Notamacropus eugenii: one gene and its partner. The protein of the gene in region 1 interacts with the protein of each later gene in a pairwise test. Links are inferred from orthologs where the notes say so. Each region holds a gene or a part of one and is shown in the gene's direction. Other genes may lie near its edges.

Region 1 (7,819 bases):
TTAGCCAGGTGAGAGAATGTAGAAAAGAAAGAAAATAGCACAAGACAAAGCCCTGGTGTATACTCAGTTGATGGAGGGAAACCAGGATGAAGATCCAGCAAAGAAAAAAATTTGGAACTACGTCTTAGAGTCCTATAAAACTGCGTATACCCTTTGACCCAGCAAAACTACTACTAGGTCTATATCCCAAAGAGATCAAAGGAAAAGGAAAAGCACTTACATGTATGAAGCTATTTACAGAAGCTTATTTTGTGGTGGCAAAGAATTGGAAATCGATGGGATGCCTATCAGTTAGGGAATGGCTAAACAAGCTGTGACATATGATTATGATGGAATACCATTGTGCTACAAGAAATTATGAAGGTGATGGTTTCAGAAAAACCTGAGAAGACTCATGTGAGCTGATGCAAAGTGAAGTGAGCAGAACTAGGAGAACATGGTACATAGTAACAGCAATATTATAATGACATTCAACTGTGAAAGACTTAGCTACCCTAAAATACAATGATCCAAGACAATTCCAAAAAACTCTCAAAGAAAAATGCTATCCACCTCCAGAGAGAACTGATGAACTCTGAATGCAAACTGAAGCATACTTTTTTCATTTTTTGGGTTTTTTTTTGCAACAAGGCTATGTTTTACATGAATTCACATGTATAATTAATACAATATTGCTTGCCTTCTCAATGGATAAGGGGGGGAGGGAGAGAACTAGGAACTCAAAATTTTAAAAAATGAATGTTTTTCTAATTTTTTAACATTTTATTTAAAGTTCTGAGTTCCAAATTCTGTCCGTCCTTCCCCTTCCTGAGGTGGTAAGCAATCAGATTTAGGCTATACATGTACAATTATGTAAAACATTTCCATATTAGTCATTTTGGACAAGCAGACTCAAATAAAATAAAATGAAAGAAAGTGAAAAATAGCATGCTTCAGTCTGCATTCAATCAATATCAGTTCCTTTCTCTGGAGGTGGATAGTATGCTTATCATTAGTCCTTTGAAATTGTCTTAGATCATTGTACTGAGGAGAATAGCTAACTCATTCACAGTTCTTCATTGAACAATATTGCTGTTACTGTGCACAGTGTGCTCCTGCTTCTGCTCACTTCATTCTGCATGAGTTCATATAGATCCTTCCAGGATTTTCTGAAATCTTCCTTTTCTTATAGCACAATAATATTCCACTACAATCACATACCACAACTTGTTTAGCCACTCCCCAATTGATGGGCATCCATCCCTTGGATTTCCAGTTCTTAGCCACCACAAAAAGAGCTGCTATAAATATTTTATACCAATAGTTCCTTTTCCCTTTTGTTGGATGTCTTTAGGATATAGACCTAGGAGTGGTACTGCTATATCAAAGGGTATGCATAGTTTTATAGCCCTTTGGGCATAGTTCCAAATTGCTCTCCAGAATGGTTGGATAAGTTCTCAACTCCACCAACGGTGTATTAGATTCCCAGTTTTCCCACATCCCCTCCAACATTCAATATAAAATATTTTTTTAAAATATATAAATATAATTATATATATAATTTTATTGTATAAATAAAATTTTTAAAAATAAAAATATTAAAACTATATGAAAAAATAGTTGAACTCCTTGGCTGAGAGGGTGGGAAAGATGGGGAGGTATGGGAGGTTTGAGGAAAGAAAATGAAACAGCCTCTGTGCAAAGAGGGACAGAGAGCATCAATTAGGGAGGAATAAAAGGATTGCTTTGCTACAGGGAGGGCCCTATTAAGATTAGATAATATAAAGTGGTAATGCATCCAGTCACCGTGGTTGCACGATATTCTCTAGTTTTGTTCAGCAGCACAAGCAGGAGTAAAAGGGGAAGGTGGTGGAAGAATACATGGTTAATTTTGGGCAAGGCATGATTGTCAACAGGACAAGGGAGCAAGGAAATCAAAATCAGAGGGCCAAAAGTAGTCAAACTGTTTAACTGTAAGATCAAAGTTGAGAAAGTACTGACCAGTGGATGGTCTAGAGGTCATTATCAGATGAAGAAGAGATTTAGGAGGAGTAAGCCATAGGGAGAGATGGAATGATAGGTTATGATAAAAGGATTATAAGGGTTTTTCATCGAGAAGGTATACATGGAGAGTATCCCTGGAGATAAATCATGGGATATAAGGATATATCAGATACTGAATAACTTGAGAATGAGCTGGGGCCAGTAAATGTTAGCCACCATGATTTTGGTTTTTAAAAATGTATCAATAAAAATAACAATCTAATCTAGCTTGTATTGAAATTACATCAAAATCAAGGTGTTATGTAATTTTTTTTAAATAGAAAAATGAGTAGGATTCAGATAGAAAGAAAGGGCAGGGCAGAGTGGAGTGAATATAGCTACAGAGGTGGGAATAAACTTAGCATTTTGCAAGGACAATAAGACCAGTATGACCAGAGCAAAAGAAGTATTTAGAAATGAGGTTAGAAAGGTAGAACAAGGTCAGATTGTAGAAAGTCTTATATACCTGGTTCAGAAGTATCAAACTGATCTTTTAGTTATTTAGGCATTACTACAGGTTTTTGAGCTAGAGGGTAATATGATGTGTTTTGGCAGAATTAACCTAGAAATGGCAGTGTGAATGATGGTTGGAGGCAAGGCTGGTAATGGTAAGAGCGAGGAGGCCAAGAGTTCATGAATGAAGTGGTCATAGGTAAGATTCAGGTAAAGGCCTGAACTGGGGTTGTATCCATGGAGATGAAAAGCTACAGGTGGGAAAAACACTACAAAGAATATACAAGATCTGATAAACATGGAGGTGATGGAGAGCGAAGGATCACAGATGCTTCTGTGTTTTCTCAAACATGGAAAATGGTAAAAGAAACAGTGAAGTCAAGAGGAAGGGGCAATTTTGACAAGGAGACACAGATCATTTTAGATGCACTGAGTGCATCTAGTGAGATGAAAGTAAGACATCCAAACGGAAAAATATCCAGGAGGCAGTTGGAAATGTAAAACTCATCTGAAAGCTCAGAATGACAGATACGGATCTGAAAGTCATCAACAGAAGTACTGATCAAACAGCAAAATAAATGACAATTGAAAACCACAAAGTAAGTTATCAACTACAGAAAGACAAAGAGAAGAACAGGGAAATGCGGAAAAGGCGCCAGAGGAACGAATACTCAAGTGGCTGAAAAAGCAGAATAGTAGTGACTTGAAGAGGCAAGAGAGAGTTCCAAGGAGTCAGGAGAGAACAGTATCAATTTTTTGCAAGTAGGTAAAGGAGAATGAAGGATAAAAAAAGGCCACTGGGTTTGCCAATTAAAAGTCACTGGACATCTAAGAAATAAGACTGCCAAGGGTTAAAGAGCAAGTGGGTAACGAAGGCAGAAGGTAGGCTTGGCAAAGAAGTGGAGGGATGTAACTAGTGGGGGCAGTAGATCAAATAAAGTTTTTTGTTTGTTTTTCCCCTCTCTCCCAAGATTGGGGAGATCCGTGTACTTAAAGGTAGAGGGGAAGCAACCAGTTGGGAGGAAAAGATTGTAGAAATTATGGAGGAAAGGCCTAAAGAAAGCAGAAGACACAAGGGGAGGTTAGCTTTGGGTGGGACTTCATCTGAGGGGTGAGGGTGAGAAAACATAGCTAGAGGCAGAAATATTTCGAGGTAGAGAATACTGGATGAAATAACATCAGATATCCTTCCTGGATCACCTTAGTCAAGTAGGAGGCAGATAAGTCATTCAATTCATCAGGTATTTATTAAACACCTACGACGACGGCATGAATCTGATACAAGCGGAAGGAGACACTGGAGGTATGAGGTAGGATAGGAAAGGCAAGGTTTGGGTAAAGTGCTAGGAAAACGTCTGCTCTGGAATCAGAGATCAAGGAATGGAGTGCTGCGCTGTAACTGAGGAGGTCCAGCAGGCTGGGGAAAGACACTGCCTGTGTGGCACAGGGCAGGGACAGGCAGCAGAGCTTGTGGCATACTCACGGGGGATCGAAAAGCTGCCGAATGCCGTTTGGAGAGTCCCAGGCGTGCCCTAGAAAGCAACCAAGGAAGAGGAGTGGTTAGGGACCCAGGGGGGTGGGAAGAGCGGAGAACCTACAAGGTTACTTGAGAGCTTGGGGACCCCCTGGGGTGAGGACGGCTGGGCAAAGGGAAACTGAATCAGGCTGTTCAGGACACGGCATTGCGGAAGGGATGGAGACCAAGCACAGGTGGAGCAGACCCTAAAGGGCAGAGGTCCCAACGGAGCTGAGGGTCTCTGGGAAGGTGCCAATGGCAGGGCTGGATCTGTGCGTTGGTTTCTTCAGAGGGGAGGCGTCTGATGGTGTTCACTGAAGGCGTCTCTTAAAGGAGGGGCCGTCATCTTAAGACGGGTTTCTGAAGCGGGTGGGATCTTTGGGGAGGGTGGGGTCTTTAGAAGGAATGACGGTGCTCATGATGGGGGGAGGGGGAAGAACAAGCATCTATTAAGCGCCCGCTAAGAGCCAGGCACCGTGCTAGGCACACTGGAAGGGGCTGAGGTCTCCAGAGCAGGGGGTTTCCGAAGAGGGTGTAGGATCTTGGGGGGGGAGAGGTCTACGATGAGTGTCGTCCCCTCCGCACCTCCGGAGGCTCGGGGTCCCGGGCTCCCCTCCCGAGGGTCTCTGCAGCGCGCGGGGCTCCAGGGCTGCCGAGGAGAAGAGCGGCGGCGGGCCTGAGGCTCGCACCCGAACCAGGACGAGCGGGCTCCCCAGGAGCCCGGAGCGTCGGCGCCAGTCGTGAGCAGACCGCGAGACGAGAGGACAGACTGTAGCCAAGTACAGAGGGGCGGGGCGGGTGACGCGGCGCAGGCGCAGACGCTGGGAAGCGCGGCGCTGTCCGACCCCGCCCTTCGCCCTCCCTATGGGAGGAGCGGGTGCGGCGCGGTGGCTGCTGGATGGAATGCCGCGGTGGTTGCCGGGATCACGGTGATGTGGCCCCCCCCGCCTTCCCCCTCCCCGGCCCGGGATGGCGGACGAGACCCGGCAGAGCAAATTGGCGGCGGCCAAAAAGAAGGTAAATGCTCTTGAGACGGCCCCTGCGCTCGGGGGCTCGGCTCCGCCCCCTCCTTTCCCGCCGCCAGGACCCTGACAGACCCCCTCCCGGATCCAGGCTCTCCTCGTTTCTCTCAGACCCCCTTCCGGATCCCTTAGATCGTCCTCCTGATTCTTCTCGGGTCTCCCCCGCCGGTGTCTGAGGGCCACCTTCTCGTGTTCCTCCTCGATCTCCTCAGGGTCCTCGTCCCCAGTCCCGCAGGTCCCCGTTCCTGAACCCCACAGGTCCCGAGCCCCGCGCCCTCCAAGACTTCCCTAAATCCCTGGCGCCCCACGCCCCTCCCCCGCAGCCCCCTTGGTGACTTTGGGCCCGTGACACTCTTTCCCTGGGCCCGACCCGTGACGTCAGGCCCAGCTGTTGGCCTCCCGGAAAGGCCTCCCCCCTTCTCACAGCTGGTGCCTGGAGGGAGATGCCCTCTGCTCGTCTCGGGGCCCCTGGAGCCTCTCGTCCCCTCTCCCACCGAAACCCAGATACCCCAGGAGGGGCCCCAAGGTGAAGGCTTGGGCACGCCAGCAGCCAGGCCTGCCCCGCCCGCTCTGTGGGAATCCGACGCCGTCCTGGACTTCCTCCCTCGGAGCCCTTCCCAAACCTCTTCCAGCCTGTTCTGCACCCTGCCCAACCCCCAGCATCGGACTCCCTTTGCCTCAGACCCAGAGTTAGGGACGGAGGGGGGGGGGTGCGCAGGTGGGGTAGGGAAAGGTGTGTGTGGAAGGACCACATATAGGGTAATATTATAGGGGAGTGGATAATTGTTTCTCTCGGAGTAACTCGTGGGGAGGACTTGGAATGAGGTTGGGCCACCATCCCCCTTCCCAAGTTGTCATTAGAACCTTCTGGCCTGGGAAATGGACGGGATTTTTTAAATGACTAACTGAGGAGGTTCTTGAGCCCCTTGAGAACACTTTCAAAAGAGTTCCAAAGACGTGGAGTGACTGCATCACTGTGTACATTCAGAGACTTAACATTGATGATAACGATGGCTAGTAAGATCCTAAATTTATCTAGTTCCTTGATTCTTATGTTCTCAAAGATTCAAAACATGCTGGAAAAGTGAATGAGAGGATTGTTTCTGCCCAGATTCTAACTCTTTTGAAAGGTCCATGGTTTTTTCTTTCAACTTTCCACCACACCCTCTTATTACCTAAATTTCTGGAACCACAATCCTTTTCATTCATTGCCCTCTGGGATAATATATGCTCACCTATTGGAGGAATGGAGAGGACTTAAAATGAGAGGAATTCTGTTAGGGTTGGGAGAGAAGTTAGTTTTGAGAGGTTAGCAAAGGACTTAAAGTTGGGACACCTGAGGCTGAGTCCGGGTTCTCACACTTAATTATCTGGGCAAGTCATTTCCCCTTTTACCAACTAGTTCTGAGGAACATGCCTTGTAAACTTTAAAGCACTTTGGAAGTATGACTTATTAAGGAAACTGAGCATCTGAGCTGTGAATCATTTCTCAGCACCTAGAGAGCCTTTGGGCAAAGTTGGAATCCAAACCTAGCTGTTTGACATGCTTTCTTCTTGAGCCCACCTCATTGTATAATTTGCACTGTCCTGGACCCTGGATCATGACCCTTGCCATTTCCAACCCTAACCTTTTCCTCTCCAAAGTTGAAGGAGTATCAACAGAAGACCAGCCCTGGTACCCCAGCAGGAGCCAAGAAAAAAAGGAAAACGAAAGATGGGAATAACCCCGAGACTCCTCCATCTGGCGACCGACACTCTCCTGAGGATGTGAGTCTTAATTAGAAACACTCCCTTGGAAAGATGGAGAAAAAGGGGTGACCTGACTCAGCTGACAGTTTTCCCCTATCCCCAGAAGAAGCGTTACAAATGAAAACGGCACCAAGCCACCTGCCCTTCCCTTTAAGACATACTAGCAAAGTCATGGTGGGAGTGAAGTCATATAATAGAAAAAGACCTGGAAATTGGAAATCAAGAAATCTAGATTCTTGTCTCATTTCTGCTACTCACTGCATGACTTGTGCAAGTCACTTCACTCCTCTGAACCTGTTTAAAAGAAGTAAAAGAGATAAACTAAGTATTCTTAGATGGCACTTCTAGCTTTATTGTTTTAGGATTTTATGATTCTGTGAACTTCTCTCCAGCTTTTCTGGATTATGTTAACATGGCCTTGCCCAAACAAGGCCAAAAGTAGATGTTAGGAAGGCTATCCCCAACCGCTGTCTATGGATTGGGTCCTTACCTTAGCCACCTTCAGTTCCCATCCTTACCCCCATTTCCTTAAGCCTGTCCCTTCCACTCTTCCCAACTCTTATCTCCTCCCTCTAAGCCACCTCTCTTTCTCTCTTCTTCCCTTTTTGTTTCTCCCTTTTCGCCTCTTGTAGATTCAGGACATTCTGAAGGTGCTGGTGTCCGACCTTAACCGTTCCAATGGGGTAGCGCTACCCACATTGGACAAGCGGAAGGTGAGACAGTGCCGAGGTCCCCTCTCACTGGCTTGCTTTCCCAGCTCTGCATGCCCCCAAGACTTCTCTGGGTTTGGGGATGACCTCCTGCTTTATTTTTCTGTTGCTGTCATTAACCCATGGTGGCCTGATTACTCCCTCATGTTCTCCTACTTTGTTAGTTTTGTTTTTCCCCTCTCCCACCCCTTTGTTATCTAGGAGGAAGTAAAATGCATTTTGTAGCTAAAGGTAGAGTCAGGAGAGTCTTCAGAAAATTTTTGGTCTGTTGGTCACTATAAAAAAAATGTAAGAAACACCCTGGGTCCCTCCTCAAACCATCTGTCCAGCTTGAGTGGGATGAAGAA
Region 2 (7,416 bases), on another chromosome or scaffold:
AGGAAAACTCCATGAGTTCAAATCTAGCCTCAGCCATGTGGCTCTGGGCAAGTCACTTCACCCTGTTTGCCTCAGTTTCCTCACCTGTAAAATGAGCCGGAGAAAGAAATGGCAAACCACTCCAGTGTCTCTGCCCAAAAAAAACTCAAGTAGGGGCATGAAGGGTCAGGCAAGACTGGAAAATGACTAAATGAGAGGCAGCCTTGGATTCTGTACAAAGTAGGCTCTCCATAGGATTGACCCTACCCCAGGTGAAGAAAGGAGGGGCCGGTGTAGGTGTATGAACCTAGAAAACCCACACTGGTGCCTGAAAGCCCCTCATTGGCTCATCACTCCTCTGAGGTCAGCCTTCCTCCCCTCGAAGCCCCTCACAGAAGCTGAAAATCTCCCTGTGGCCCAGCAGGCAGAGTCCTGGCTCAAACTGGCAGCAGCCTCATTTTATAGATGGGGAGCAGGAAGTTGACCAGCAGTCCTTCCCCTGCCCCTCCCCCACCTCCTTGTCTTCTCAGTGATCAAAATAAATACAAAGAAGCTGCCCACCTGCTCAATGACGCTCTAGCCATCAGAGAGAAGACCTTGGGCAAGGACCATCCAGCTGTGAGTGAGGCCCGGCTCCCTGGGCTGGGGGTGTGGGGCGAAGAGGACCCTTGGCTGGCCAGGCCTCTGCAGCCGTTTTCCTCTCTTTGCCCTGGACCCAGGTGGCAGCTACCTTGAACAACCTGGCGGTTCTGTATGGCAAAAGGGGCAAGTACAGAGAAGCAGAGCCCTTGTGCAAACGAGCCCTGGAGATTCGAGAGAAGGTAGAACCCATCTGGGGGCCCCTGTCTCCCTGGGCCTGGGGGAGGAGCTGGGGGGGGTGCGTCAGGGCACAAGTGAAAGGAGCCTCCACCTTCTCCTAGGTGCTGGGCAAGTTCCACCCGGATGTGGCCAAGCAGCTGAACAACCTGGCCCTCCTCTGTCAGAACCAGGGCAAGGCCGAGGAGGTGGAGTACTACTACCGGCGTGCTCTGGAGATCTATGAGGCTCGGCTGGGTCCTGATGACCCCAACGTGGCCAAGACCAAGAATAACTTGGTGCCTGATCCAAGGGAGGCACTGGGGAGGGACAGCCAGGGCGCACTGTGGGCCCAGCATGGTAGGGCGGCTGGGGCCTCACTGTCTCCCTGTCTCCCCCTTCCTCAGGCCTCTTGCTATCTGAAGCAGGGGAAATACCAAGATGCAGAAACCCTGTATAAAGAGATCCTGACTCGTGCCCATGAGAAGGAATTTGGCTCAGTCAATGGCAAGTGTCCCCCCAGCCCATCCTGCCCTTTGGAAGGGGATGAACCTTTTAACCTGGTCTTGGGGCTCCAGGGCCTTGTGACAGCCCCTCCTTTCTGTCTTCCCCAGGAGACAACAAACCTATCTGGATGCACGCTGAAGAGAGGGAGGAAAGCAAGGTATGGGGAAGGAGAAACTCAGAGCTCAACTCCCCTTGGGGCTTGGCCCTTTCCTTCCCCAAGGTTTCACTTTTCCTCCCCTTCAGGAGAAGCATCAAGACGCCACCCCCTATGGAGAATATGGCAGCTGGTACAAGGCATGTAAAGTGGACAGGTGAGAGGAAAAACTGAACCCTGGGGGGTCTCGGGGGCTGGGGAGCAGAAACCGTGAGAACCCCTGGCTCATGCCCATTTTCTCCAGCCCCACGGTGAACACCACACTTCGGAGCCTCGGTGCTCTCTACCGCCGGCAAGGGAAGATGGAGGCAGCTCACACCCTGGAGGACTGTGCCACTCGCAGTAGGAAGCAGGTTGGCACAGGGCCTGGGAGGTCAGGGTAGGAGGCATCAGGGGCTTCTCAGCTTCACCCCCACCTCACCACTCTCCTCCTATAACCAGGGCCTGGACGCCATGAGCCAGACCAAGGTGGTAGAGCTGCTGAAAGATGGTGGTGGGCGAGGAGACCGCCGGAGCAGCCGAGAGGTTATTGGTGGCACAGGATCTCGAGCTGAGCCGGAGCCGGAAGATTTGGGGCCCACGGTCGAGTGGTCTGGGGTGAGGGGGCCATTGGGGATCATTGGGGGAGGTTAGGGTTAGGGTTTGGGAGGGGCAGGGACAGGAGAGCAGGCAAGCACAGCGTAGTGGTTCCTCTGCCCCCAGGATGGCAATGGTTCTCTCCGGAGAAGCGGTTCTTTTGGGAAGCTCCGAGATGCCCTGCGGCGCAGCAGTGAGATGCTGGTAAAGAAGCTGCAGGGGGGCGGCCCCCAAGAGCCTCCCAACCCCCGGTGAGAGCCCTCCCCCACCTGGCCCCCCTAGGCCTAGCCTCCCCTCAGCTGCCCCCCACTCCTGGGGATGTCAGCTCCTCCTCTCCTCCCACAGGATGAAGCGAGCCAGCTCCCTCAACTTCCTCCACAGGAGTGCAGAACAGACCAGCCAGGTGAGGAGGGCCTGCCCAGTCCATGGCACTATCACCAGGGGACCGTTTGTGACATGGGGTGCCAGGAGCCACAGTCCTGGCTGTGGGACCTTGCTCAGTTGGTCTCCTTGCCCATTGCTCTGGCTGATTCTCAGAGCCTGGTGCCACTTTGCCTTGCCTGCAGGAGATCCCTCAGCCAGCACCAACCTCTGCCCGATAAATGCTTCTCCAGGCCAACAGCCAAAGGTCTGACCGCTGCCCCAGCACCTTTTCTGCGGGGCCTTGGCCAGACATCCCCACGTCCTCCAGACCTTTCACCTGACTCGGGGTGGTTCCCACATGCAAAGACTCCAAGGACTAGCGGGAATGAGGTGGGTAGATCTTCTTCTAACCTTCCCTGTGTTTGCCCACAGTCCGACGCCAACCTGTCCGACAGCCGAGTGCTCAGCTCCAGCTCGCTTGACCTCTCTCGTCGGAGCTCTCTTGTTGGCTAAGAGGGAGGACTGGGAGGGCCTGCCCCCTCCCCAGCTCCTGGACCCTCCTTGGCTGCTCGTCATATCCCACGGGGATGGGGGGGATGCAGGGGGAGACCTGACCTCAGCTTTCCTCCTGCCCTGCTTCAGCCGCCCTTCCCCAAGGCTGTTTCCCACAGGCCCTCCTCCCCCACTGATTTTTTGTTTGATCTCAGGGTAACCTCTCCCGTGTCATTTCAGGCTTAGCAGCTAAAGGCTTATTCCCCTGCTCCCTGTCCTGTCTAGCACTGTTAGTCACACTGGGGACAGTGCAGAGAGGAGCCAGGATCCCCACCTCCTGTATTTATTTCTCTTCCCTTCCTCCCCGTGGAAGCCAGGAAAGTGAAGACCGGGCCCCTGGAGCCTCCGGCCCGGCCCACCTGGCCTTGGGGAAAGACAACACTAGGAACCTCCCCCACCCCGCTTCCCCAGGCCTCTGCTTCTGTATATAGAGAAATAAGTTATTGGCCGCTCCCTTCCCCATGCCCTGTCCGTGGTACCTTCCTTCACCCTTCCCCTTTCCTGGCCTTAAGCCCTTGCAGACAAGGTGTTGGACGCGCAAGTGCAGAAACCGGCCCCCCGTCCTTCCCACAGGGTGGGAGCCTGCCTTCTCGCCCCTGAAGCCCAGCAGCGTAGGACCCAGGCGCCCTGTCTCCGTCTATAAGAGCTGACACCGTTTTCTTAACTTTTCCCCTCTTTGTTGATCCTGGGCCTTAAAAACATGTCCTTTGAGCCACATTCCAGGGCCTTCCTGGCCCTTCCCTGCCCCCTCCCCAGGTACCACCTGCTGAGCCATTCCCGGACTCCTGCTGCTCCCAGGTCCCCCCCACCCCACCCCGGGCTCTGGGGGAGGGGACTGCAGTCCCCGCTTCGTGGCCGGGGCGGGGCGGGGAGCCCACATGCTTTGTTCAGACGTTGCTGTAGAAATAAAGACGGTTTGAATCCAGACGAGCCCAGTGTCTCAGTGGAAGCGGGGCCCTCGTGTTCGGGGGTGCGGGGGGGGGTTCGGGCAGCCGGGGGCTCGGGAACTCCATTGTCTCTGCCTTCCGTGGGGGCGGTCTGAGAATCAAACGAAGAAATACGGAGGTTTGGGTTCCAGCCCCCCCCCCCCCCCCCATTTTCACCGGAGAAACCTGAGGGTCGGGGGATTGTGGTAGGTGACGTGCTGAAAGGAAGGGGTGGAGCAGGAGATACGCGTAGGCTGAGGCTGTAGGTGCGAAGATTCTGGCTCCAATTGCCCCGGGAAAAGCCCCTTCCGATTGGGGGAGGGAGCAGGAAACTACAAATCCCAGAAGGCGGTACGGTGACGGGGGCGGTCCAAGCAAGGAGGCACGCTTGCGTCGCGGCGTCCGGCCGTCTGCGCAGTCGGGAAGGGGGAATGAAGTCAGGAGAGAACTACAAGTTCCAAGAGGCCGCGCTGTGCGACAAAGAGAAGGGAGGGCCTGCGCCTGCGCCTGCGCAGGGGGCGGAGTCTCGGGGGCGGAGCCGCCGCCATCTTGGAGCGGGAGGCGGAGCGAAGCAGACAGGGAGGGAGCGACCGACCGGGGCCGCTGCCGCCGCCATGAACCCCGAGTAGTGAGTGACCCTTGTCCGAACCCCAGCCCCTCGGACCGGGGAGGCCTCGGGCCCCGCGTCCGTGACTTGTCCCCATCCCCTCATCGGGCCCCCGCCCGGGGTCCCCGCTGCCCTTCTCCCTGACATCCGGGTTCCTGCCCTCGGTGACCCCCCCCCCTCACATCCGGGTCTTGCAGGGAGGGGGTGCTTAGCCTGGACCCCCCACGTCCCCCTAGCCTGAGCTGGGACCGAGAAGGATGCAGTCCCCGCTCTCCCTCTCTCCATCCTCTTTCTGTCCCCCCAACTCCCAGGAGTTGGGAGGGCCATGGGGGCCCTGGACTTTTCTAGGTTCAGGCCGAAGCCCCCCAAACAGACCCACGTCCCTCCGGGCCCCCCCATGTGAGCATAGCGGGAGCCCCCCTCGAATCTCGTCTCCCTCCAGCAAGGGGGCGTGATGGGGGGTGGGGGGCCGGACGCCCGGAATGCCCATCAGGCCCTCCCGGTGTGGACCTGACTTACTGGTGTCTCCAGTGTAGACAGAACTTGACTCCTCTACAGCCCCAAGTGTGGACCCGGCGCTAAAAATTGTGCCGAAGTCAACCTAAACCTCAGCAAGCATTTATTAGACGCCTACTGTGTTCCAGGCACCCAGCAGACAAACGAGATGCTCCCCTCGAGGGCCACGTAATCCCCTGGGAAGAGACACATTAAGTGAATGCCAAGCAAATTCAGAGTGATTGAGAGGGCCCTGCCCTCTGAGGACAGACCCCCAAGGCCTCCCAGCCCAGGACCCCTCCCTCCCCTCCCCCACCCAGACTCGGGGCTCAGTCCCCCTCCTCTCCCCATACCCCAGGCCGGGACCATTGCAGGACCTGTTGGTGGGGTCCATCCTCCAAACGGAGGATGCCACCAAAGGGATTTTCCTAAAGCTAGGGTCTCCCTCCCCCCCTCCCAGTCAGTTACAGAGGCTCCCTGTCACCTCCAGGATCAAATAAAAGCTGTTTGGTATTCAGAGCCTTCCTAATCAGCCCCCTGGCTCCCTTTCCAGGCCCTCCTGGCCGCTCCTCCAACAAGACCCGCCATCTCTGGACTCCGAGGCTCCAATGCTTGCCCCTCATCTCTGACCACTGACCCCCATGGCTTCCTGCAGGCCTTCCCTGGGAGGCTAGCCCCAGTGCCATCCTCTCTACATTTTGTCTACTTGGTTGTGTGGCAGGCTGTCTCCTGGGCAGGATCTAGGTTATTGTGGGCCTTCGTATTCCCACAGTTCCTGGAACACAGTAGGTGCTTAATAAACACTGCCCTGGTGAGGAAAGAGTATCCTCCAGGCTTGGGGAAGGCCTTTGCAAAGGCAGGAGAGCCATGCCAGGTTGGCAGGCTGGGGCAGCCTCGTTGGCAAGATGGAGGGAAAGGAACGAGAGGGTAAAGGAGGAAGAGGAGCTTGGAAACCTGTGCCATCCTAAACATGTGGAGAGATGAGTGTGATAGAACTGCCCTTAGGGCTGGATCATCTGTATCATGGTGATGATTGAACTCATGGGAGCTAGAGAGAGAACCAACAGGCTTTTCTATTAAGTACCATGGCCAGGCCAGAAGTGGACCAGTCCCTGCCCTGTCTGGGGGGAGCATGGATAGAGGTGTGCTCAAATGTATACAAAATGGAAATAAGGTCACCTGGGGGAAGGGTCCTGTAAAGCTTTGTGCATTAGGAGGAAAGGCCTGGGCATAGCCAGTGCAAGGTAGGGGGGAGGCTCAGAGAGGTTTGTGAGCAGGAGTAATGGGCTGAGGCTGGAAAGGGACGTGAGGGCTAGACTGGGAAAGGCTTTATTTCCAAATGATAGGAGTCTACATTTGAGCTGAGAAATATTAGGGAAGCAAGAGGGACTTAGCTTTGGCAGCTGGCTGGAGGCTGGATTGTGGTGAGGAGAAGCCGTCAGGAGGATGGTGGCCACGGCAGGGAGGGGTGTATTTAGGCCAGGACAGAGCCCTGGGGCACACTCACCAAAGAGCCATGGAAGGAGGCTAAGGAAGAGGACCATGAGAGGCTCAGAGAGTCATGTCCCTTCCTGCAAAGACCTCTGTGGCATGAGAGAGCAAAGCTGTTGGCTTGAGCAGACATGAGATGATTGTCCAGGGGTGACACCTCTGGCCAGACCCCAAGGGGTTAGGAATGACTGAATGGTAGCAGAAGGAGGGGACCAGAAGTAGATACTTCACCCTTTCTTGGAGTTTGGCTGGAAAAGGGAAGACAGAGGATGAATGTTTCCATAGGGAAAGTGAAGGAGAATCTGAGATCTGCCCCCATACTCTGGCTGCCTCAGCAGCCCCTGCCTCCTGCCCCCATCTTTACTTTCACTCCCTTTTGGGTGCCTTCACCACTTCTGAGGCTCCCAGGGCCAGGAATCTTAGTGAACTTGCCAGGGAGCTGGAGCCCTGATTGCAGCCTCTGCCCGGCTTCTTCCCCTGCTTGGTGCTGTGAACCTGGGCACACAAACAACCCCATCTTTATTTTCACTAACCTTTAAGCAATATTGAGCATCTCCCTTCATTATTTACAAATGCTGTTCTGAGAAAGGGTCTGGGGGCTTCGCTGAGCTGCCAAAGGGTCCATAACACGAGGCTACAGGCCCTGGGTCAGAGCCTTTCCTGCAGACCCTACACCACATGGAGCCTCCTCCTTTAGTACACACCAGTTTCTTCTTGTCCTTTTCAGTAGTTTTTTCTCTTATTTTTAAGTCATGATATTTTTAAAAGCTGATCTGTCCCTTCCACTAGCCCTCCCCACCATGACTCCCTCCTCCCATCCCTTCATCGTCTAAGTGCACGTGTTTGGGGGATGTTCAGCCCCTCACACAACAGCCAGACCAGGCCTCAGCTGCCCCACGGGCCATTTCCCACAGGCCTTCTGTCATTTTCTCTTTCTCACTGTCTTTCTTCGTCCATCCTTCTGAAGTGGC

The links.
Region 2: the proteins of GOLGA2 (region 1) and RAB1B interact in a two-hybrid assay, tested with the Homo sapiens proteins (2 studies listed by BioGRID and IntAct). The link is inferred for Notamacropus eugenii from reciprocal best matches to the Homo sapiens genes GOLGA2 and RAB1B.

The regions. Positions count from the first base shown.
Region 1 is NC_092872.1:479,583,237-479,591,055, reverse strand, and holds the start of GOLGA2 (golgin subfamily A member 2), read left to right. Parts: upstream 1-4,782; 5' UTR 4,783-4,960; coding exon 4,961-5,008; intron 5,009-6,657; coding exon 6,658-6,780; intron 6,781-7,394; coding exon 7,395-7,475; intron 7,476-7,819. UniProt on the Homo sapiens protein: Peripheral membrane component of the cis-Golgi stack that acts as a membrane skeleton that maintains the structure of the Golgi apparatus, and as a vesicle thether that facilitates vesicle fusion to the Golgi membrane.
Region 2 is NC_092873.1:18,876,081-18,883,496, forward strand, and holds the start of RAB1B (ras-related protein Rab-1B), read left to right. Parts: upstream 1-4,368; 5' UTR 4,369-4,466; coding exon 4,467-4,480; intron 4,481-7,416. Other genes in the region: KLC2 (kinesin light chain 2), read left to right, coding at 510-597, 699-800, 900-1,073, 1,182-1,281, 1,389-1,438, 1,525-1,592, 1,680-1,788, 1,877-2,032 and 3 more. UniProt on the Homo sapiens protein: The small GTPases Rab are key regulators of intracellular membrane trafficking, from the formation of transport vesicles to their fusion with membranes.